3 linked regions of the Lytechinus pictus genome follow. The protein of the gene in region 1 purifies or fractionates together with the protein of each later gene. This does not show direct contact. Links are inferred from orthologs where the notes say so. Each region holds a gene or a part of one and is shown on either strand. Other genes may lie near its edges. The genes, in order: activating molecule in BECN1-regulated autophagy protein 1-like; 60 kDa heat shock protein, mitochondrial-like; serine/threonine-protein kinase Nek9-like.

Region 1 (8,027 bases):
GTGACATTAATTAAAATATAATCATGTCATCACTGGAACTTACATACATTAGATAAAACATTAAGTTTCAACATGCGAAAAGGACAATTGTAAAGTACTTAGTGGACAAATTTAATTAAAAAAACTCACCACCTTTATATCTTCTGTTTTTTTAACAGAGTTGTAAGCAAGAAAGTAAAATGTAGTTAAGCTATTCTAATGTTCAAAAATAAAACTGCAAGAACTCTTTGGTAAACTTCTTACTGGCAAATGCAAAAAAATGTATTACACTGTACACTAAACCTGACTATTAAAATTAACATGCAATATTTCTCTCTGCATTCAGGTTACAAGTTTATGAACTTCAAGAAGACTGGTGACCCAATAAGAAAGTTTGGAAGAGGATTCTGTCAATGTCACAAAGTGGATGGAGGTAGAATTGTGCCTCGCCATCAGGCCAGGAGTACAGGTCACCAGATTGACACTTCATGTACTGAAGATATACATTTTCACCTTGAACAGAGGCTACCTGTAGTTGAGAAAAATAGTATTTGGAAGTTTGACTATATTTTTTAAGCAATAAGCAAATATTTTTTATATTATATCAAATCATTTAGTTATTTATGTCTTGACATTTTCTCATTAAAGGGGGTGGATTACTAGGGACAATGAATCTGATCTGTTCTTGCAAAATACACAAGAACCTTCACTTTGTATTTTTTCATAGCAAATAGAATTCATCATTTTATAGTTCATGAATTAAATATAAAGTTACGTTTTATAGAAGGTTTTTGTATTTGTGTTGTTGTGTTCTACTTTGTTTTCACAATATAATTACTTGCCCATTACCTTTTCATAAATTATCTGTACTTCAATTTCATTTCTCAATGGATTAATTTAATCTAATTTTATTCTGCATTCTAATCAAGGGTGGTTATCTAGACAATTCCATTTAGTTTTTTATGACCATCCTATTTAATTTTCATCGCTGAAGTTTAATTGTTCAAGCAATTACATAATATATGTATGTTTTATTGGAATTAAATGAATTAATGGAATTCAAATCTGCAATTTACCTTCTGATACAGCAAATAAACTCTTGTGAAACAAACTTGATTGTGTCACATTTTCTTTTGTTCACTTGTACATGTTTTAAAAAACTCATTATATTGCAATAAAAAAAAATCACATTGAAAACAATCACACAGGCTTCTGCTTTCTGATAAAACGAACCCCCCCCCCTCTCCTTACAATTTAATATATAGAAATCAAAATACAAAATATTGAAAAAATATTGAGAGAAAAAAAGAATGTGCTGAAAAGTATAACATTCAACAAGATGAAAAGTTTTGGGAAGGTTAGGCCTACAGCCAAGAATTACTAGTAATTGGATTATGGCCATGCTTCATCATACACAAAGCACATGTACTATGTGTAGGGGGTAGTAACAGAACAATTATTTTGCCCCCCCCCCCTTTCGGATTGGGATCAGCTGACAAGCAAAAAAAAAAAAAAAAAAAAAATGGGGGGGGGGGGGGGCCTGCCTCCCCGTGGCGCTGCCACTGGTTCTAAACTCTCATTTTTTGGGGGAAATTCAAATTTGATCATCAGGTCTTTGATACCCATATTACGTAGAATCAGTAGGAGCCAATTTAAACAAGGCGAGAAAGCCGCGAGATTTTGTACCAAATCTGAGATGTCAGCATGATCATCGGTGATAGAGCAGTTTTGAGTATCCATTGGCCTATTGAAATAACATATTTCGGTGTTTAAAAAATCAACTAAATTGCGATTGAATCATGTCAGCTAAAATTCAAAACATGTTTGCACGGAATCACAGTAATAAAAACATTATTTCTTTGGGGCCGTTTAGCAAATCTGGAACAAACACGGCGATGTCTCAATCACATATTTCACTTACACGAAAAGATACATGTGGGACTGTAGTAAAAAATTATGGAAAATTAGCGAGATTTTTCAAACTTAAAAACACTTTCTGCATGATAATATAGTTTCACATTTTTAAGATAAGGTTTAACTGATTTAAAAATACGAGTATCGGGATAAATCTCCGTACTTACGTCGCTTTGAAAGGGAAAACATCGTGGAGATCCAATCCACCGTTACACGGACATTGCAGGAAGATTCCCAATTGCAATGCTGCATAACACCCGATATCATAGCCGTTCATGTGCACGTGGATTTCGGCTAACATCCCGTCCGTCTGATACAACGACGGTCTCTTCTCCGGTCTCTCCTTTTTACATACGCGATGAAATGTGATCCACCGTTACAAATTTGGCCCGGACATCGCCCAAAACATCGGCGAACTTCGATTAATTTACATGACATTAACATTGGTTTTCAAAGCTAATCTTTTGATGAAAAGTTGCTTACTGCCTGCCCTTTATTTCTGACACATAACTTTGGAAAGAATGATTTCTGACTTTTAGTTATTTACCAGTTTACCGCCGTTACAGAAAAAAATAAACGCGGACATCGCATGTAACGGTGGTATGCGATGTTGTAGGAATGATTTATGATATGAAGCCTCTTTTCATTTGCTATCCCATTACTGTTTTGTTATTAAACAAATGTTGCTTTATCAATCATGGCCATTTGAATTTGACTAAGTTTATCTTTCAATTAGATATCTTCAACTGAAAATGACCATTTTGGATGTCACACTTGGTACCCCAAAAAAGAGTCTGGACATCATCATTTAAAGTCTCACCATCAAAAATACTTGAGGTTCAACATTTTTATTTCTGCATCAAGTAATTGCTTACATAACTGCCTTCCAACAAAACCACATTGCAACATCCAAGCGCCAAACACATTTTCAGGATAAAGCCAACAATTCATAGGGAACACAAAAAAGTGCTGTTGCCCCAACCCCGTGGAATGACCCGAAGACAAAAATAATGAAAATATAACATTTTAATAAACAGAACATGTTCCAAAATCCAAGGTTCACACTCCTTCATCAGCCTAAAATCATAAACAGAGTCTGTGGTATTTAGAGTACATTTTGTATATCAGGAAATACTAACTAACGTCGCGTTTTTGTCGTGCCACTGGTCAAATTGAGCAATAACGTAAGGCCAACAGTCAACACTACATAAAAACAAGCACTCGGGACCAAAGAATTACAAACGCTCGTCTTACTTACCACAATTTTAGAAGAATACTTGGCACTAATAAAATCTGCATAATTTCTAAGGATATCATTACTTCCAGGCTTCCTTTTAATCCCAATTTCCCGATCTCTTACGCCTCGCAATAAATATTTCGGGCGTTTCATTTTGTCCCTCTTTTTTGATTAGGTGGAGACGCAAGCAGCAGCTTCAACCGTGGCAAAACAGTCACACGCAAACGCAAAAATAGTCGATCGATTTGTATCGTGTGCCGTTAAGCTCAAGATAGCACAATAGCTTTGATCGGTCGGGACTTGTGTTTAGGGTGTGACTGTTGCTGAGGACACCCCTATTCGTACGTACAAATACAATACACTTGCTTTGCATTTGGTTGGGAGATATACAATATACCCAGTTGTTGTGTGTCCGGACAGGTTGTGTGTCCGGACGATCAATTTTAGAAAGTATTTTGGAAAAAATTACAAGTGAAGTTTCATCAATTTTTAGTACAAAATGTTAGGAAATAATATAAAGAACAAAATAGAAGATGATTACAAGTATTGAATTCGTATTTTTAGTGTAATCCAAAGACAAAAAAGAAGGCTTCAAAAATATAAAGTGTCCGGACACCCGACCCCCCACATCCCGACGACATCGAAACGCGAAATTAATAACCATGCAGGGGTGGATCCAAGATTTTCCAAAGGGGGGGGGGCACATTTTTCCGGGGAAAATTTGATAAGCCCCCCCCCCCAAAAAAAAAAAAGGGTTTTTAACAACAAATAATGATATTTCGTCGCAATAATCTTACAAGTAAAAAATACAACCCCAAAAAAGGTCTTTGATCACTTTCAAAGAAGGGTATACTGTTTTAATGGTAATTTTACCCGGCCCAGGGTAGCCACTCTCAGCTGTAATTTGGCTTCTCAAAAGGGGGACGGGTCGACTTTCCATGTATAGCCAGGCGCCTTAAGTTAGACCACTCGGCCACGGCACCTCAGCCACTGCACACAACAATCGGTTAAAAAAATTATCCAACTTTGGGTAGTTTTCAAGTTCAACCAATACTGTGTAGTTGTAACCCAAACCACACGTTATTGGTTTAAAACTAACCAGAATTGGATAAAGTTTTAACCAATAGTTGTGAGGACCGCATACATTCGTAATTCCGAAGCTTCGTTATTCCGAAGGTTCTGTTATTCCGAAGGTTCGTATTTCCGAAGGTTCGTAATTCCGAAGGTTCGTTAATCAGAAAACGAAATATGGTTCGTAATTCCGAAGGTTCGACAGTCCGAAAACGAAATGAGGTTCGTAATTCCGAAGGTTCGTTAATCTGAAAACGAAATGAGGTTCGTAATTTCGAAGGTTCGTTAGTCCGAAAACGAAATGATTAACGAACCTTATTTCGTTTTCGGATTAACGAACCTTCGGAACATCGAACCTTATTTCGTTTTCGGATTATCGAACCTTCGGAATAACGCCACAAACATTCGGATTAACGAACCCTTTTACGTTTTCGGATTAACGAACATCGAGGTATAGGCAATTTACGTGTTTCGGAATTACGAACCTTCGGAATAAAGAACCTTCGGAATTACGAAGTGTAACCGTGAGGACATGCAGTGTATGTTGCCCAACATTTTTAAGAGTGTATTATTTAGAATTTGAGATGTCATTATTTTCAGCCTGAAATACAGAAAACGTTGAATGGAAAGTTCCAATTAACAACTATCAGGGCCCCATCTAACAAAGAGTTGGGATCGATCCAAACAATCGTAACTCTATGGAAATCCAGTGTCATAATCCAGTGTCATAATTTCTTCTACCGGAAATTTGCAAAATGTCCTTTGCAAACAAAAAAGAACACACCAAATTGTCAAGAAATCAATGAATTTATGGATATACATTCATATCTGGAAAATATTTTGAACAAACATGCATTTTATATGTTGACTTTGCTGGTTTAACATAGTTGCGATTGATCGGATCAATCTCAGCTCTTTGTAAGACGGGCCGCAGGTGTGAATAAAAGTAAAGAAATCAAAGAATTAGAGCAATCAACTCATTACATGCCTTCCTAAGCTCACAAGGTCATTATGGAATATTGAGAAGCAAAAAAACAAAACAAAAACAAGTGTTAATTGTGGATTTTTTACAGTATATTTATTACCATAGAGATAATACAGCAAAATCGCTCTTAATAATAATAATATAGGGTATTTATATTGCGCACATATCCACCTTGTTAGGTGCTCAAGGCGCTCCTATATTACCCGGCTAAGCTAGGCGTTCATAGCGCACTTATCATAAGCGCACTCCATGCAAAGGCATGTGTGAGTCTGAACAATGTTGAGATCAAAATCCAATAAGTACCTGCATCAATTCGATTATAGGCCCTGTTTCACAAACCCTCCACTGGCAAGTTACAATTGTTACAAGCTACTGAAAACCTGGCATTTAATTGTCATAATTTATCTTTTTTTTTGTGAAACAGGTCCCCTACAAGAAATCTTGAAAAAATACTCAAATATTAACTTAAATGCCATACTGTACATGCATCTCTCTCTCTCTCTCTCTGTTTATATACAGTCTACTTCTTTGGAAAAAACAAAATCAAGGAACAAGATAAATACAATGTAAATAATACATTAATACATGTACATAAAAATAATTTTTTTTTAAAGTGGAGAACAGCATACATATTACTATCTATGACAGGGTTTCCTCCACAAAGATTAATTAGTTATACACAGTAAAAAATAATTATACAACGCTGTTTACTATATGAACCTTACAGTAGTTGTTTAAACATTTTAGATAAGTGTTTAAATCTTAAGCAACAAAGTTTAATTTTCAATATCTAATCTTCAAAAAATTAAACATGATTGTTTAAACGGTTAAACAAATACTGTAAGGTTCATACAGTAAACAGCGTTGTATAAAATCTTAAACAGCGTTGTATAAAATCTTAAACAACGTTTTTACTGTGTAGGTTGCTGGATCATGATGGAAAAGCAAACAAAGTATTTTTAAAAATTCAAAAAAAAATAAAATAGTGAATGTCTTAAAAACATGTATCCAATTCAAATGGGCCATTATATCAAGGGTGACCTGGGCCCCGTCTTACCAAAAGGTACGATTGATCCAATCAATCGTAACTCTGTGGAAATCCATCAGTGTCATAATTTTTTCTATAGGAAATGTGCAAAATGAATTTATGGAGATACATTTATATCTAGAATTTTTTTTAAAACAAACAACTCTGGAAATCCATCAGTGTCATAATTTGTTCTACAGGAAATGTGCAAAATGTCCATTGTAAAGAAAGGAGAACACACCGAACTGTCAAGAAATCAATGAATTTATGGAGATACATTTATATCTAGAATTTTTTTTAAAACAAACAACTCTGGAAATCCATCAGTGTCATAATTTGTTCTACAGGAAATGTGCAAAATTTCCATTGTAACGAAAGGAGAACAAACCGAACTGTCAAGAAATCAATGAATTTATGGATATACATTCATATCTAGAAAAAATTTGAGCAAACATGCATTGTATATGATGTTGACTTTGCTGGCTTTCCATAGTTGCGATTGATTGGATCAATCGTAACTCTTAGTAAGACAGGCCATAGGCGTCCCGGAATTAAAGGGACAGTCCTGTAATTCAGCCATTTGTCCCGTGAGACCCTGTCCAGGATGCCGTTTTGTCCAGTATTTCAAGATTTTTAACACAAAAATATGTGACAATATTCAAACCTTACCATTTTTTTTCTCAAATACATAGCAAGAAAAAATGAGGATGAAATATATGTTGTCTACATACTATGTCAACATCTTTTACCAATGTCGGTTTTTTTAAATGCCCAAATTTTTGGTCGCTCGCTTGTAGCCTTTTGGAAATTTTGCATTCTATAAAAGTTCAGCTCATTACGCCACTGATCTGGGGAGTGTTTTATAAAAGGACTTGTCGGACGTTTTATCCGACAAGTCCCATTTTATCCGACAGTTACCAGATCTGACAACTTGAAAATGTTGATGAAACACTCCCCAGACATCGAAGTGTCTCGTATTTTGACTGTCCATTTCTGGTCACCCTGATTATATCTAATCCCCAACAAACAGGAGTTTTGTGACATTAGCTCCGGCTGCAAATTCCAAACATTAATCAAATGACCAACTTCAATGCTGCATTTACTTATACCCTATCCTAAACCGAACCCTAAACCTAGCATAAAACCCAATTGCAACCCCAACCCTATATCTTAGACGAAATAAAGCCCAGAGCAAATGTTGTGTTTCCACAAGCAGGACCCCACAGACATGATCACCTCTGCTTACTGTTCAATGTGTGATGCCCTTAAACTCTCATAGATTGATGTTAAAGTTCATGAAATAAAGTAAACATTGAGAAAAATAATAAAATTGAGGGGAGACATACTAAATACCCTGTTTATCATTTCAAGGAAATGCCCATTTTCATAGTGATCACTTCAACCTTGAAAAATAAATAGAGAAAAGCTTATGTATCTACTCAAATTGCAAAATAAGAAACAAGAAAGTTTGTGTTTACAATTTAGTCATATTCAACAAGCTGATTTCAATTCAAGCAAGACTTAAAGTATATTTAAATCAAATTCTATGTTTGTTTTATATAATATACTTGCATGTTTTATTTAACACATCAAGAGAATTATATTCAATATTTTAACAATCGTGATACTTAGAATGAATATTACTATGCCTTAATTGCTTCTTCTTTGTTTATCTCTTTTCCTATTTCTATATTTTTCAAAAATGTTATAATGTGGATATCCATAATTTAAGCCTTTCAGATTGTGTGCAAAACACTGCAAATGCATGTAGGTGCAATTTAAAGAATATCCCGATTCATTTTTATTAGTGGATG
Region 2 (7,558 bases), on another chromosome or scaffold:
TTTTATCAATAATGAACGCCCTTTACATTGGTATTAATAGACATATAACATTGCTTCTTTGTTGGCATGAGCAATAGTTAATGCAAATTCTAATTCATTTGTATCTATAGAAAGTCAACAGGGGCCTAAGCTTTCGATCCTAGCAGAATCTTCGTCGGAGGCAAAATTTGTAACTAATTAAATTCATTCCAACTGGAAGTTCCAATCGGATCCAGTTGGAAACCAATTAGTTTCAACTGGTTCTGGTTGAAACCAGTTGCCTTCAATTGGTTCCAACTGGAACCCCTGATTGAAACCAGTTGCTTCCAATTGGATTCAATTGGTTTTAATAGGGAAATTGGAACCAATTGAAACCAGTTGCCTAATTGGTTTCAACTCAACCAATTGAAACCCATTGCCAACTGGTTCCAGTTGCCCAATTGGTTTTAACTGGAACCAATTGGCAACTGGTTTCATTTGGAATCAGTTGTTCCAATTTCCCTATTGAAACCAGTTGGCCAACTGGTTTCAATTCGTTTTGCTCTAATTGGTTTCAACTGGATTTTGGTCCTGGGTGGGGTGACTTAATTTGTGCTAGCTCTGCATGAATTCACCCTCACTCAAGTTCCACTTCTATGATAGGAAAGGGCGATATAATTTATAGGCCTATGTTGAATATATCAAAATCTATTTTTTTTTTTGAGCAAAAGTCCTATATCCCAGATAGTCCGCTTACAATTAACTTTTAAATGGAAATAACACAGAATTTTAATGAAAAATTGAGATGTCAAGGGCAAGGCCCTACGTAGTGGGCGTGCTGGGGTTATCGCACCCGACCAAAGTGGGCGCAACTGAGTGGCGAGTCTATAAACAAAACACTTTTTTCCTCCTGCTTGTCAAATCATATTTTTCTAATCGAAAGCACCTCTAGTGAAAACCTTTATTTTTTTAGTCTCATTTATTTATTTGTTTTTATTCATTTATTTATTTATTTATTCATTTATTCATTTATTCATTCATTTATTTATTCATTTATTTATTTATTTATTTATTCATTCATTCATTCATTTCTTCATTCAATTTTTTTCTGATCAAATTCACCTTCATCAAGTTCTGGAGTGAAACTTATTTTTACAAATGTTCATTTGCTTGACTGTCAAAATTTTACAAGCCAGCACCCCATCTTAAAAAAAATCCAGGCCCCTGTGGCATGTCTGGCACTAAAGCTTAAAGGTCAAGTCCATCTAAGAAACGTTTTGATTTTAATCAAACAAGCATTATAGGCCTAATACGCTGAAAATTTCATCAAAATCGGATAACTTAATAACAGTTTCGCTTATTTTTCACAAAACAGCTATATCAAGGAGTTATACAGTGATATCTCCTTGGTATATGCACAATCAGTGATATGCAAATTAGAGAGTCGGTGATGTCTATTCTCACTATTTCGTTTGTTTTGTATTGTTTGAATAATACAGTATTTCCATTTTTACCGATTTATATTACTGAACCAAAAAACATAATAACAATATGGTATACCACATGAGCCTCGCGGGGATATAGGCCTAACTTTTTTTCGCAGGACAATGAGGCTAAAATTAGAATATTTCATATAATAAAATACAAATAAATAGTGAGTGGGTGATATATGTCATCAGTCCCCTCATTTGCGTACCGACCAGGAATGTGAATATTGTTTGTGAAACTTAAACGAAACTTATAAATGTCATTTCTATTTCTTATTTTACATCCAAATTTGATGAAATTTTCAGTGTTATGCTTGTAGGGGTTTTCTCCTTTTATTCAAATCAACTTTTTGTTGGGGTGGACTAATTGTCCTTTGAAAAAATGCCGCATGGGAGCATTTCCCCGGGCACATTTCCAGTCACTTAAATAGTCTCCCAGCACATACTCATATTTGACACTTATAATTCAACCAACCATGTCTAGAATAAAGACTAGATGCCAAACTCTAATCTTTGTCTAATGTTGCACAAATTTATGAGTTAAATTATAAAGAGAAACTAAAAAGAATGGAGCAAACTTTAAACTGCTGGCGAACTAGAAACCTTTCTCTAATTGGTAGAATCTGTGTTGTCAAAACTCTTATTTTGCCACAGTTAATCTATCTTTTTTCTGTTCTTTCTGTTAAATTACCCAGAGCCTTTTTTAAAGAATTAAATAAATTATTTTTTAAATTTATTTGGAATGGAGGCAAGGATAGAGTTCAACGTAAGATAATGTGTAATGATTATACTCAGGCTGGACTAAAAATGATTGACCCTTTTTCTTTTGCATGTGCTCAAAAAATGGTCTGGGTAAAACACCTATTGGATGAGAATTTTGATGCTCCATGGAAAAAGATTGAAGTAGCCTTTTTAGAAAAAATTAATCATGATATTCAAATTTTGTGGAAATCTCATGCTCCTGAGAGCATTTTAAACAGTCTTGGTAATATACAATTAGCTGAAGCATTGAGAATGTGGTATTCATTTAGGGAGGAAGCTGCTGTCGAATGTTATGGTAAACATTTTTCAGATTTGAGTGGTTGTCAACTCCTGTGGTATAACAAATTGATTCGTTCAAAATCTAAACAGTATCTTAATTATCCAATGTGGCATGAGAGAAATGTATTAATGTTATCTGACTTATTTAATCCTCCTCTTTTAGGTCACAAACTCTTTGAAGAGCTTGTGTTAGATTTTGGAATCCCCCAAACAGACAGAAGGAAATATAATTATTTTACTTAAGTGCATCCCTGAAGAATGGTTGGTGAGTTTTGACCCTGATATTATTGGTGTTCATGAAACAATTGTACATAAATTGTTGAGTTATAAAAAAGTCCCTAGACATTCATACATTTTATTTAGGGGATCACACACACCTGACAAAAGATACTCTTATTGGGATGAACGTTTACCAATACCAGTATCTATCGATTGGGAAAAGGTACACTACACAATTTTTTTTTGTACCATTGATACTAAATTAAGATCTTTCTATTTTAAGATTTTTCATAAAGCCATAGCATTAAATGATTTTTTGTATAAGATTAAATCTAAGGATTCACCCAATTGTGTTTTCTGTGATAAAAGTGAGGAAACAATTATCCACCTGTTTTGCGAATGTGAAAGGGTAATTCCTATTTGGCAATCCCTTTTAACGAAAATTTCCCAAAATAATGTTCAAATAAATGGTTCTAATTTTGAAAAAATGTTCGGACTCTCAACTGATAAGTTCATTTCATACCTTTTTTTACTTTTGAAGTATTATATTCATACATGTAAATTTAAGAATAATCCTCCAAGTTTTGCTCATTTTAAAACATTTGTTAAAAAACAACAAGACTTGGAATATTTGATAGCTAAGAAAAAAAATAAGTTGCCCGCTCACTTTAAGAAGTGGCGATTCACCTTATAATTTGGTTTTAAAAAATGTCAGTATAGGTTACATGATAACTAACACTGTATATTTTGTATAACAGGTTTAGTGTCCCATTTTTTTATATAATACTGCACTGTATTGGTTATAATTATGGTTGTAGACATCAGATCCCATTTTTTCATGCAACTTGTATCTCAGTCACCTTGATATACTTATTCGTTTAAAAACCTCCATAATTATGTCGTCTTGGATAACCAGTTGTGCTTTTTAATCCTATGAATAGTTGTTTGGAAACCACTTCATATAATCATAGCTTGTATATTTTGTTTTGTCTACTTTATTTACCAAATCACCTATCTTTGTTTAGATAACACTGATATTAAGTCATCGCATTGCCACATTCCTTTTTTTTTGGGGGGGGGGGGTGGGGGAGGATAAGTGGGTAGGTTTTTTTTTTTTTTTAAATTATTATTATGGTTGTTATTTTTTGTGTAACTAAATTGTGTTTATGTGATTTGCAATCACCTATTAATCATTTGTAAATTTTGTGATTTATTTCAATTTGTATAATAAAAACAGAATTATTAAAAAAAAAAGTCTCACTACTTCAGACTCTGCATTAAGCACTAATTGCGCAAACTAATTCTGTACCTGCAGACTATACCTTTTATAGGCATGTCTTTGAATGAATTTAGATAAATGACTAAACAGAGTCTAACATCCCATCGGTTGTGTTCTAATCGATTACATATGACGGTAGAATTCAAGGGTAGCCCTGTAACCTGTATGAATATAAAATTATGAAAAACTTCTTGATTTTAAAGCCATAAATTGCTCCCACTGTCCCATCATTGAATATTGTAGATATCAATAAAAATAAAAAAGCCATAACATCATTTCAAAGCAATCAATTCTACGTTTAATTTACCCAATGAGATGTGTATTTATTTGGTTATGTGGGTGCAGGGCACTCGAAAATGTTTAAATGCCCTTGATTATGCAATATTCGTGCGTGCGAGGCTTTGATGCAGCACGTGCGAACATTCGAGATTACACGTGCGCGTGCAACCAACGTGAGCTGGTTTACCGGCATTTGTCACTGATCTCAGCCGTAACTCCCCCGAAGACCTGCCCTGGACAAACTGGTGGTGTAACTTAACAAAATCTCATCTTCTATTTACATAAGGCGTAAGTAAGATTTTATTTATTAATGTAGCTTTGTTCTTTGAACGCATAGGCACATTTTAGAAGTCAAATTAGAAGTGAAGTGTGCCCCCAACAACATTCTTTTTAAGTTTTGTTTTTAATTTCTGCCGAATTCTGGATGTCTGAACTAACGTTAGTCTGACTCTGATTCTGAATCTGAATGCTCTGTCTTTCTTTTCTATTAATGTTAGCATGGTTAGTACTTATTCCACATTTCTTTTCACAATTTAAATGTCATTTCAACACAAGTTCGATCTTGCAATCTTCTGTTTCTTTCAGTTTCAACCAATATTATTAGTACATATTGTCGATTGTTATCATAGTACAAGTACAAGCATGACTGATGACAAGCATGACAAGGACAACTACAACTTACAAGTACAACTACAAGACAGACAGTTTTTGTTGACCAAAACTAGTAACAAGCTTCGGTCTCTGTAATACTAAAAGGCTTAGGCTAATTGTTGATAAAATAATTTACTTTCCCTACGCAAATTCCGATTTTACTTATATCAGGGGCCGCGGAAGCGGGGGGGCTGGACCGGCTTCAGCCCCCCCCCCCCACTTTTTTCCAAAACCGTGTACAAAAACGTAAAAATGACCATATGATTGTGATTTTTTGCGCGGTCAGCCCCCCCACTTTGAAAACCGTTCCGCGGCCCCTGCTTATATAACTACAGTATCAATTTCTATATAGAAATCGGTAAGTAATGATAATTTACTTACCAAACGGACTTCTTTCTGCTCCAAACATAGTCCAGATTGGACCTTGGTGTTTGGAAGTTCTCTTTCCCAAAGCTAACATAGAGGGCACATGAGCCACTGATCTTCTCTGAGTCTGAGCAATGAATCAGCGCCATCTTCCCTGAGGAGGGAAGATGAGTCCGTGGATTGGTGCTGATTAGAGAGTGGGAGTCATGTCATGTGCCCTCTATGCTATGTTAGCTTTAGGAAAAGAACTTCCAAACACCAAGGTCCAATCTGAACTACTCCGAACATCGGATGTCTTCGCTTAGCTGCGAGCGACTTTGTTCTGAAAACGAGTGCACGCACGTCAACAGCACGCATTTCCAATACAATCGGCCGATATGTCCGATGTTTGGGACCACCCCTTTATCCACCACTGTTGCTTAGGCATGCCTCAGCAAACTAAAAACTGAAGCCAGGCAGTGCTTGGTCAACTTTAGTTTATTTTAGTTGGTTCAAAATTTTCACAAAACAACGAGCTTATAAATGAACAAGGTAACATTCTCACTGTCTTCCTTTCCTACAGCACTCAAGCTTCCATCATGTACAGACTATCCAGCGTCCTCCGACCTTTGACCTCCCGGGCCCTGACCCCATCAGTAAACAGAGTCGTGTGCCCACATCTTGCCAGAAGCTATGCCAAGGATATCAAGTTTGGTGCAGAGGCTAGGGGTATGATGCTTCAGGGCGTTGACCTCCTTGCAGATGCTGTAGCAGTCACAATGGGCCCCAAAGTGAGTTGATGGTCAATAGGGGGCAGGGGTTTCTTAGTTTGGTGGGAATTTGCCAGCATTTAAATTTAACTTCAAATTGAAGAGACAGCAATGAAGAAATTTTTTTTCTTGTACAGTTTGTTATACATGTATGTACAGTGCTGTGGGAGATCTATTGTGCATCTCCGGGCTTTTTGAGCCATACAAAACAATCCTTTGGTTTGTTTGTCACTTATCAGCCTGTTCTTGCTTGCCATAAAAAGATGATTTTTTGTTGTAGCAGATAGGTTTAATCAATCAAACAGCCAACTGATTCCTGCTGTAAGTCAAATAACCTTCTAAGACAAAGCAATTTTTCAGGATCAGATGATGAGATCAGATAACTGATAATCTTTTCTTTCTGTGCTTAATTGTCCTCCATCTCTATACAAAAATTGTATAATTTATTTATGTAGGCTAATGTTAAAAGAAAAGTGCTTCACTGCCAAGGTGGCTTCTTTTGTTTGTTTGTTGTGTGTATGAACAAGTTCACTTGTTCCTCAAGAGCTATTGAATTAACTAAGTTTTCCAAAATCTTTGTCCTTGACTGCTCGTTCTACTTTCTTCCATCATGCTAACTTTCCCTTTTTGTAATTGACAGGGACGTAATGTAATTATAGAGCAAAGCTGGGGTGGTCCTAAAATCACAAAAGACGGTGTCACAGTCGCCAAAGCCATTGAACTCAAAGACAAATGGCAGAACGTTGGAGCTAAACTTGTCCAGGACGTTGCAAATAACACGAACGAAGAAGCCGGGGATGGAACCACGACAGCAACAGTATTGGCACGAGCTATCGCCAAGGAGGGTTTTGATAACATCAGCAGGGGAGCCAACCCTACAGAAATCAGGAAGGGCATTATGAACGCTGTTGATGTCGTTGTTAAGGAGTTACAGAGACAGTCCAAACCAGTTACAACACCAGAAGAAATTGCACAGGTGAACTGTCCTACTTGTTAAATACCTAATTAACCCATTGGAGACTAGCAATTTATACTATGACATATTTTCTATGGACCCCAGCCCACATTATGCAGCTTCAGTCTATATTGGGTTAACAAAACTTTACTACTCTGTATTTCAGATATAAATATTGTGCTGTTTGGAATATATCATTTGTGCTATTTTCAGTAGGTTGTACAGTCAAGCAATATTTTACTTTGCCAATGCTGCTTTTGAAGAGGAAGAAATTTGGTATTTCCAGTTTACAAATCAAATTATAATAAAGTAAAATAACAGCCTTTATGAGGCAACGATTATCAAGTTGCTTTTTCAATTACGCACTCTATCCAATCAGTTATAGGTGATAGTCGTGAATTGAATATTTTCTAGTTGATAACGATCAGGGATGTAGTCAAGGCGGGCCTTAGCATCAGCCTTGTGACATGGAACTATCGCTCGCTTCTGTATCCCTGAGAATGACCCACAGTTAATTGTGCCACTTTAAATCACCCTCATGTTATTCAATCTCATATGTTAAGCAATTTTTTGA
Region 3 (7,412 bases), on another chromosome or scaffold:
ATATATGTCATATTCCCAACCCCTGTTCCCAACCATTTCTAAGTTAATTTTTTAACATTTAATTTTGTATGCTACAGAAAAATAGAGTGTTATGGAAAGACATAATACTGTAGTGTAAAAGACCACCAACAATTTAAAATTTAATTTAACTTGCTAATAAGAGGCCAACAAGTAAAATGGAGCTGGAAGAGTTTTTTTGCTGTTGTTGTTGCTGCCACTTTAAAATTTTGAACAATCCAAAAAGGGGCCTAAAAAGACCATGATGAAAATATACGGTATGGTATGGTCCCCCAAGACTGCACTGTCCCCCTTGTGTGTGCACACACGTACAGTGTATCTGCGTGATTCCAGTAAAAGAAGATACACAACGACCGTCAACCTTACACCTGCATATAATAATACACAGACAGATATTGTTAAAAATTCTACTCAAATGGTGGAAAAATAATGAATTTGGGGCATTTTATGTGAAGGCCTTAAAATGCAGCTTTTCTCATCAAAATGCTGGAATCGCGTGCAAAGTGAATGGGTGCGCAGACATGGGGCACCAGTTTTTGTTCAATCTGAAAATGACTGCCCAAGGTTTTTTCTAAGAAACTTATATACATGTACATGAAGGTTCTATAGGCCTATTTCTTTCAAGATATTTGGCACATAAGGCATATAATCAACTGAAAGAATTTGTGAAATAAACAGAAATTTTTGTTAAATCTCAACTGAAACCGTTACTAGGGGAGCAGACTTGGGGACTACTGTACGCATCATAACGTTAAGGTTACATCATTTATTTGAAATTCATCATTAAATCCTTTGAAGCTAAATCGTAACAACATTTAACAACAAGCTTAATGAGCTTTAAATTTCGCCCAACTTAGATGGCCAAAGTTTTTCATGGGTAGAAATTGGAAGGGCCAAGTCTGTGAGTCTGAGAATGAGCAGTCACTCACACTCACAAGCTCACAGAACTCATTCCCAATCTCATCACTCTAACTTTTTAGATCTAGACTATTGCTAGACTCTTGACTTTAACAGGCGCATAGCCGGGGGGCGGTGGGGGCAGTCGCCCCCCCCAAATAAAAACATCCCCAAAAAGAAAAAAAAAGAAGGGAAAAGAGAGGAGAAAAGGAAAAGCGAAGGGAGGAAAGGGAAGAAAGGTAGCTTTGTGGGTTTTTCTTTTTATTCTTTATTTTTTTCTCCAAAAAGCAACTCTGTGACTCTTGCTCTAAATTTATATATATATATGAATTTTGCTTCCGCGCTGTGCGCGGTTAAATGACAATATGGCAGTTCTCCTTTGTTTCCCTCACCCTTTCTCTAACCCTGTTTTTCCACCTCAGCTATATGTGTTTCTTGCCAGTTAAAGTTCAAATGTATACATTAGGGCATAGAATTAGAGTAAGGTTAGGCCGAAGTATATGAATTTATCTTTTTTTCTTAATTGATCGCGCAACTTCTGATCGGGTCAGCTCCGGGCGGGTAAAATCTTTATCTCAATTTATGCCGTCATCTCCATATAGGCAACTTCTCCCGCTTTTCAGCTCATTACTAAACAACCATAATTTGGGGGCAAACAGGTTCCTAATTTAAAGAGGAAGGTATAAAATTTGTGTCGTATTAAATTAAAAAAAAGTACAATATCTTTTTATCAAATTCTATTCAACTTCATGTCATTTCCCTGCAAATTCATCTCCTGTCCTGTTTGCACCCTCAGTTTGAAATTTTGAATGACACTATAAGTTTCTTTATCATTCAAAGTGAAGCGCATCAGGATAAGTGAAAGAAATTATACATCATCCTGTTTTATATAATTTCAATAATCACAGAAGTTTCAACTTTCTGCGCACTATTTTCCTTTTAATGAAGTTCAATAATCTTAGAAAATTAATTGCATTAGAGCTGATGGGGTATTTATTAGAGATATCTGCATTTGATGAAACGTCCGCCCTTTGAAATTTCAGAGTTTCATTGCTCTGCGCAGGGAGGAATATCTTCCTCCCGGCATATATCCTTCTTCTCCTCTGTTTTGCGATTTAAGATATGCACTGTCGCTATATTGTTTGTAATCAAATCTGATCTTTCCAAGGGAAGTATTCAATATAACTTAGAAAATAACCTTAATTCGGGACCATTTTCTTTGCAATAAAAAATTATAAAACGCTTTAGCTTCCGCACTTCGCGCGGGGTTCATTATTATTTAAATTTCCTCCATTTTATCCCTTTTTTGTTTGTTTTACAATCACTTTTGAAAACAAGGTTCAAAATCACAATATAGTCAAATGAATTGGAGCTGATATAGGTACTAGAGACAAGGGATGCGGCTCCTTTTTATTTTAATTTATGAAACACCGAAAGCTTCGGCACGGGAGGGGGAAACTCCCCCTCCCTGCACCCACCCCCTAGGGAGCGCGCATCGCGCGCTCTGTAAGTGTTGGTATGCTTCGCGTGCATTTACCGCCCCCTCCAAAATGAAATCCTGGCTACGCGGTTGGACTTTAACGTTAGACTTTAATAAAGTGAGTCGATCTCTATTCTAACTAACTGTCTGTAGCAATAGCATTGCTGTTAAAAGTAAAAAAAGTCTTACTCTCAACTACACACTCTCGGTCTCAACTACGTCTCATATTTCATAATCATATCCATCATGAGTGACCATGGTCCATGCATCTCTCTAACGTTAATAAAACCTCACCTCTGTTTTCCTGTAGAGAACTGCTTCACCAAAAGCTCCCTTTCCAAGCACTCTTACAGGTGTGTACATTTCCTCCTGTATCGTATCACTGCTGTTTGCACCGGCAAGGAAATTTGTTGAGCTCGAGGAGGAAAATCCCCCATCTTCTGTAGACATTATTGAACGTCTCTCTGATTTTGGAGCAATAAAATGAAACAGAGGGGACCTCAGGCTCAGGAGTATTAACTCATCAGCTGGCTTGAGTCTTGAGAAGGACTGTCACATTCAGTGTCATACAATTTTTTTACAATACAACTTAAGTAAGTAAGCTCGGGGGGACAGTTTGGCTACGCCGCGGTACGAATGATCGGTCGTTCGATGTGCCTCGGCCGTCGGTAGGGCGGAACTCGGAGGCAGGCTCCCGCTGTCGATTTAAGCAGAGCTAGCTAGCTAGCTCGCTGCGAAAGATCCGAAACGAAGCTCAGCTAGCGGTACGGTATACAAATACCGGTATACACACCATAGAGTTATAAACCTAAGTTAACTCTATGATACACACACAGATCAGTACGTAGTTAGTATACATCTCTATGGGTACAATAAGTCGTCTAAGTGCCTGTAGATCGTGCACAAATTCGATTCGGCCAGCATCAAAGATATGTCGATCCGAATTCTGATGAACACGATCTGCAGGATGGAGCTGTCGAGAGTGTCGGATATCAGTTAGCCATACATGCAGCATCCGAGGGGTTTCGTTCAAGTTTTGCCATAGAGACTCTTGCAAATAAATAACAACAACAAAACAAACTGACAAACCAAATTATTTCATTTACATTAACACATTGAAAAACTATGGCAAAAAATTAAAAGCCAGAGTTTTTTTTTTATGCAACAGGCCCCACCAGAGACCATATAATAATAATGATAAGAATGCACCTTCTATCTAGTTTCATATTCAGAGACGCAGAGAGAATAAAAACAAAGAAGGTGAGTGTTATTTGAAATATGATGAGAATAGATATGTCTTTACGATGTATTGAAGAATGGGGGGCCATGATGCCCCCCCCCCCGCCCCCTTCTGATCTCGGCCACCGATCGCGCTGGCGCCGAAATTTGGCACGCAAAGTCTTTACCACAAAAACTACAAGCCTGTATGAAACAAGAATGAAAATAATTATTTTTCATTTATTTTTAATAAAATATGACAATTTATTCATGAAAAATATATGCATATTTAACACCCAAATTCACTTCAAATAAGTTCTTCTCTTTTTTCCAGATGTCATCTTTTGTAATCTAATGAAAAAGTTTCCATAAAATTGCGAAAGGCAATTTTTTTCCTTATGTATTGCTTTGTTTTTAGAATTTCTTATGACTTTATTTGTTTTTTATCTTTTGTTTTTCATTTATTTCCAATGGAAATTATTACAGACCATTTAACAGCTAAATTGAATCCTATTTCAATTAAGCAGGCCAATTATAACGAAAATGATCACGCTTTTATGAATTTCATCTCCTACTGACTTTGTACACAAAGTATAAAAATGAGCCATTTTTGGCATGACATATCTTGTCTCGTAAAAAAACATGTGACGTCGCGATGCTATACCCGTATGTCGCGAATTTGGTCTCACAAGTTGCGCGAGACTTTTAAAATTAAAGTCACAAAAGTTTGCGGCGCTATCTTTTTGCGTTTCGAAAATATCGCGTGAAGCGTTGAGGGGGCCATCATGCCCCCCCCCCGTCCTCTTAGGGTTAAGGTTGCCTATGAATAACTCCATAGACTTGGCATTGGCATTGTTAATGAAGAGAGTACATTCTACAAAATGGGAGTGCTCATACTGAGCAAAAGCCTTTTCACCAAATGAGCATTTGACTATATAGCAGTTTTCAACAACCCGGTCATAGCGTATGGAAACCGATTTCGAATTAATAATATTCTCCCCAAAATGCACTTAATTATTTTCCCCCATTTTGGAGCCATGGTTCTCAAGCCCCCCCCTTCTATATATATAAAAAAATCGTAATAGTTGAAGGCAGTTTGAAATATACTTGGTGAAAATTCGTGCATCCTATCATTTTGAACACTGTTTTGAGTCCACTTTAATTTATTAAGCCTTTACATCTACTCAAGTTCGGTGTAATCTATTAGCAATTTATGTGCTCATTATGCTGTACTCCATATCATACTCTAGTTCTATTTGCTCTATAATTCCAAATAAGCTCTCTATATAGGTCCTACTCAAGTTCAATGAGCTTATACTGCTCAATAGTCGATTTGATGTGCGCTGTTCCCAGGTTCATATATAACACCTTAACAATTCTAAATGAAAAATAAGTTGACAATAGTGAGTATAATAATCAAAGGAAAGATATGGATAAATGTTTTTTTCGTTTTTCCAAGTAAAAAACAATCAATGGTTTATTAATTGTGATTGTACTTTAGTAAGGAGGAACTTTCAACATTTCAATCACTCTTCCTTGCACTTGTTTCCAAATCGGTGCACCTGTCAATGCCTGATACGTGTTAAGGACAAGTTAGCTTTCTCTTTTCCTAATTATAATTGAACTGATAAAAGTCTCCGATAGCACGCAGATTAAGGTGATGGGCAACAGGCCTCGGGAATGTACTTTCAGAACCAAGTAGGGCGAAGGTTGCCACCTTATGGTATATAAATAAGAGAGAAACGATAGATTCTATTGAATAAGCACGCAAGCAGACCCATCAAAGCTTTTCACTAAAGTCTGTGAGATCGGAACGAAAATGGATGCTTCTCTCAAGTTTTTGGCGGGAGTTGCCTTGGTGATGTTTGTGTGCATCAACGGGATGATAGGACAGCAGCCGCAGACGATGGATTTGGTAGAATCCGCCAAATCCCTTCAGGATCTTGCTCACATTGCTGTAGTAGATGCACTATCTTCACTCCAGACAGCACTCTCTTTACTTGATTCTCAGGTATTGCCATTATATCGTTTTGAATAGTTGGTTTAATTTCTTCTTTTATTAATTTCAGTAATAATGTATCCAAATCTGCCGTGATTATCACAGATTCATTTCTGGATTTATATTTGAATTCTTAACCCTAAAAGGAATTGGCTATTTGAGATGTATTGAGGATGGGGGTGTATGATGGCCCCCCCCCTTCTGATCTCGGCCGCCGTTCGCGCGATCGCGCCGAAATTTGGCACGCACATTCCTTACCACTACAATTAAGCCAGTATAAAAAAATATTCTGAAAATAATAATTTTTTATTTATTCTAAATAAGTAATGCAAATCATCTTGAAAACATTATTTGCAAATTTAACACCCAATTTCATTTCAAATTTTCTTCTTTTTTTCCAGATGTCATTTTTGTAATCTAATGTAAATTTTCCCACAAAGAAAAATCGCGAAATCTAATGTTTTTCTTATCTATTTCTTTGTTTTTAGAATCTCTTATGTATTTCTTGTTTTTTCATCTTTTGTTTTTCATTGTTTGTTTTTTCAATGGAAATTATTACAGACAATTTAACAACTAAAATAAACCATATATTAATTTAGCAGACCAATTAGAACAAAAATAATCACCCTTTTACGAATTTGATCTCCCATAGACTTTGTACACAAAGTATAAAAAGGAGCCATTTTCGGCATGACATTGTCTCGAAAAATTCACGTGGCGTCGTGACGCTGTAAATACCCGTATGTCGCGAATTTGGTCTCAAAAGCTGCGCGAGACTTCAAGAAAAAAGTCACAATAATATCGCGGGAAGGGTCGAGGGGGCATCAGGGTCCCCAGTCCTCTCGGGTTAAGTCATTTGTAATTTGAAAATAACTCTTCATATAGATTTACAGAGTATCTAGAGATTGATTGGTCATTTAAGACAATTGTAAGGGATAAACTTTGTGCAATTTCATGTTATATTGACATCACATCTCTCAAATGGGCCTATTAAGTCAAAGATAATGCACGTTTGTGATTATTATGGGTATTCACCTATGTTGAACCTTTGTTTCCGATATTTTTTTTTCAACACAAATAGTTTTATTTTGTCTTTTTCAAAGATTTTATATTTTGACAGTGATGAGTCAAAACATCCGCGAAAATACAAAGCAAATCAGTTTTCTCAAAACAATCAAACTCGTGATGGGTCTAATTCACCTTGTTGCGATTCCTCTGTGAAATTATATTGAATGAATTACATTTCTTTTAATCTAACATCATAGTTAATTTATGAGAATATTTATGAATAACAAATACGTCTTTAAATGAAATACCGATAAAATTCAAGAATATAGAAATAAGCAAAATTATCTTGTTTGATCTTTATTTCATTTCCATTTAACCCATCTTTTAATACTCGTATTTCTTTCTTATTTTCTTCTCCCCTTTAAAAAAAGGCTTATAAACAGCTGCTCTATTGAGACACGGATGTTTTTAATATTTTTCATATCCTTTAATACTATGAAACAGGCTGGGTTATCAATGAACATCATTTGTAATATAATTGAGAATAAGTACCAAGTGCCTAAAACTAAAGTGATTCTTTTAGTTTGTCTTTATTCTTTTTAGATGAGAATTAATGACTATCATTCTTATTGCATTATAGTTGACATAATTTTTATTCAAAGACCAACTTTTATTTTCCCTTCCTCATTAGTGGTCAAAACTTGAGGCTACTGCGAAACAGAAGAATCTAAACATCGCATTCATTACTGTACCTGCAGGTAATTCAGCAAAAAAATAATATTCGACTTGAAA

Evidence for each region.
Region 2: the proteins of activating molecule in BECN1-regulated autophagy protein 1-like (region 1) and 60 kDa heat shock protein, mitochondrial-like purify together in Homo sapiens (affinity purification with mass spectrometry, with the first as the bait; 3 studies listed by BioGRID). This does not show direct contact. The link is inferred for Lytechinus pictus from reciprocal best matches to the Homo sapiens genes AMBRA1 and HSPD1.
Region 3: the proteins of activating molecule in BECN1-regulated autophagy protein 1-like (region 1) and serine/threonine-protein kinase Nek9-like purify together in Homo sapiens (affinity purification with mass spectrometry; 3 studies listed by BioGRID and IntAct, with this or other methods). This does not show direct contact. The link is inferred for Lytechinus pictus from reciprocal best matches to the Homo sapiens genes AMBRA1 and NEK9.

What each region holds. Positions count from the first base shown.
Region 1 is NC_087253.1:10,977,963-10,985,989, forward strand, and holds the start of activating molecule in BECN1-regulated autophagy protein 1-like, read right to left. Parts: upstream 3,358-8,027; 5' UTR 3,284-3,357; coding exon 3,152-3,283; intron 412-3,151; exon of another isoform or gene 322-411; coding exon of another isoform or gene 283-321; intron 1-282. UniProt on the Homo sapiens protein: Substrate-recognition component of a DCX (DDB1-CUL4-X-box) E3 ubiquitin-protein ligase complex involved in cell cycle control and autophagy.
Region 2 is NC_087257.1:28,129,945-28,137,502, forward strand, and holds the start of 60 kDa heat shock protein, mitochondrial-like, read left to right. Parts: upstream 1-4,360; 5' UTR 4,361-4,551; intron 4,552-5,842; 5' UTR 5,843-5,858; coding exon 5,859-6,050; intron 6,051-6,669; coding exon 6,670-7,005; intron 7,006-7,558. UniProt on the Homo sapiens protein: Chaperonin implicated in mitochondrial protein import and macromolecular assembly. Together with Hsp10, facilitates the correct folding of imported proteins.
Region 3 is NC_087251.1:9,671,937-9,679,348, forward strand, and holds the start of serine/threonine-protein kinase Nek9-like, read right to left. Parts: upstream 3,300-7,412; 5' UTR 2,846-3,299; coding exon 2,690-2,845; intron 1-2,689.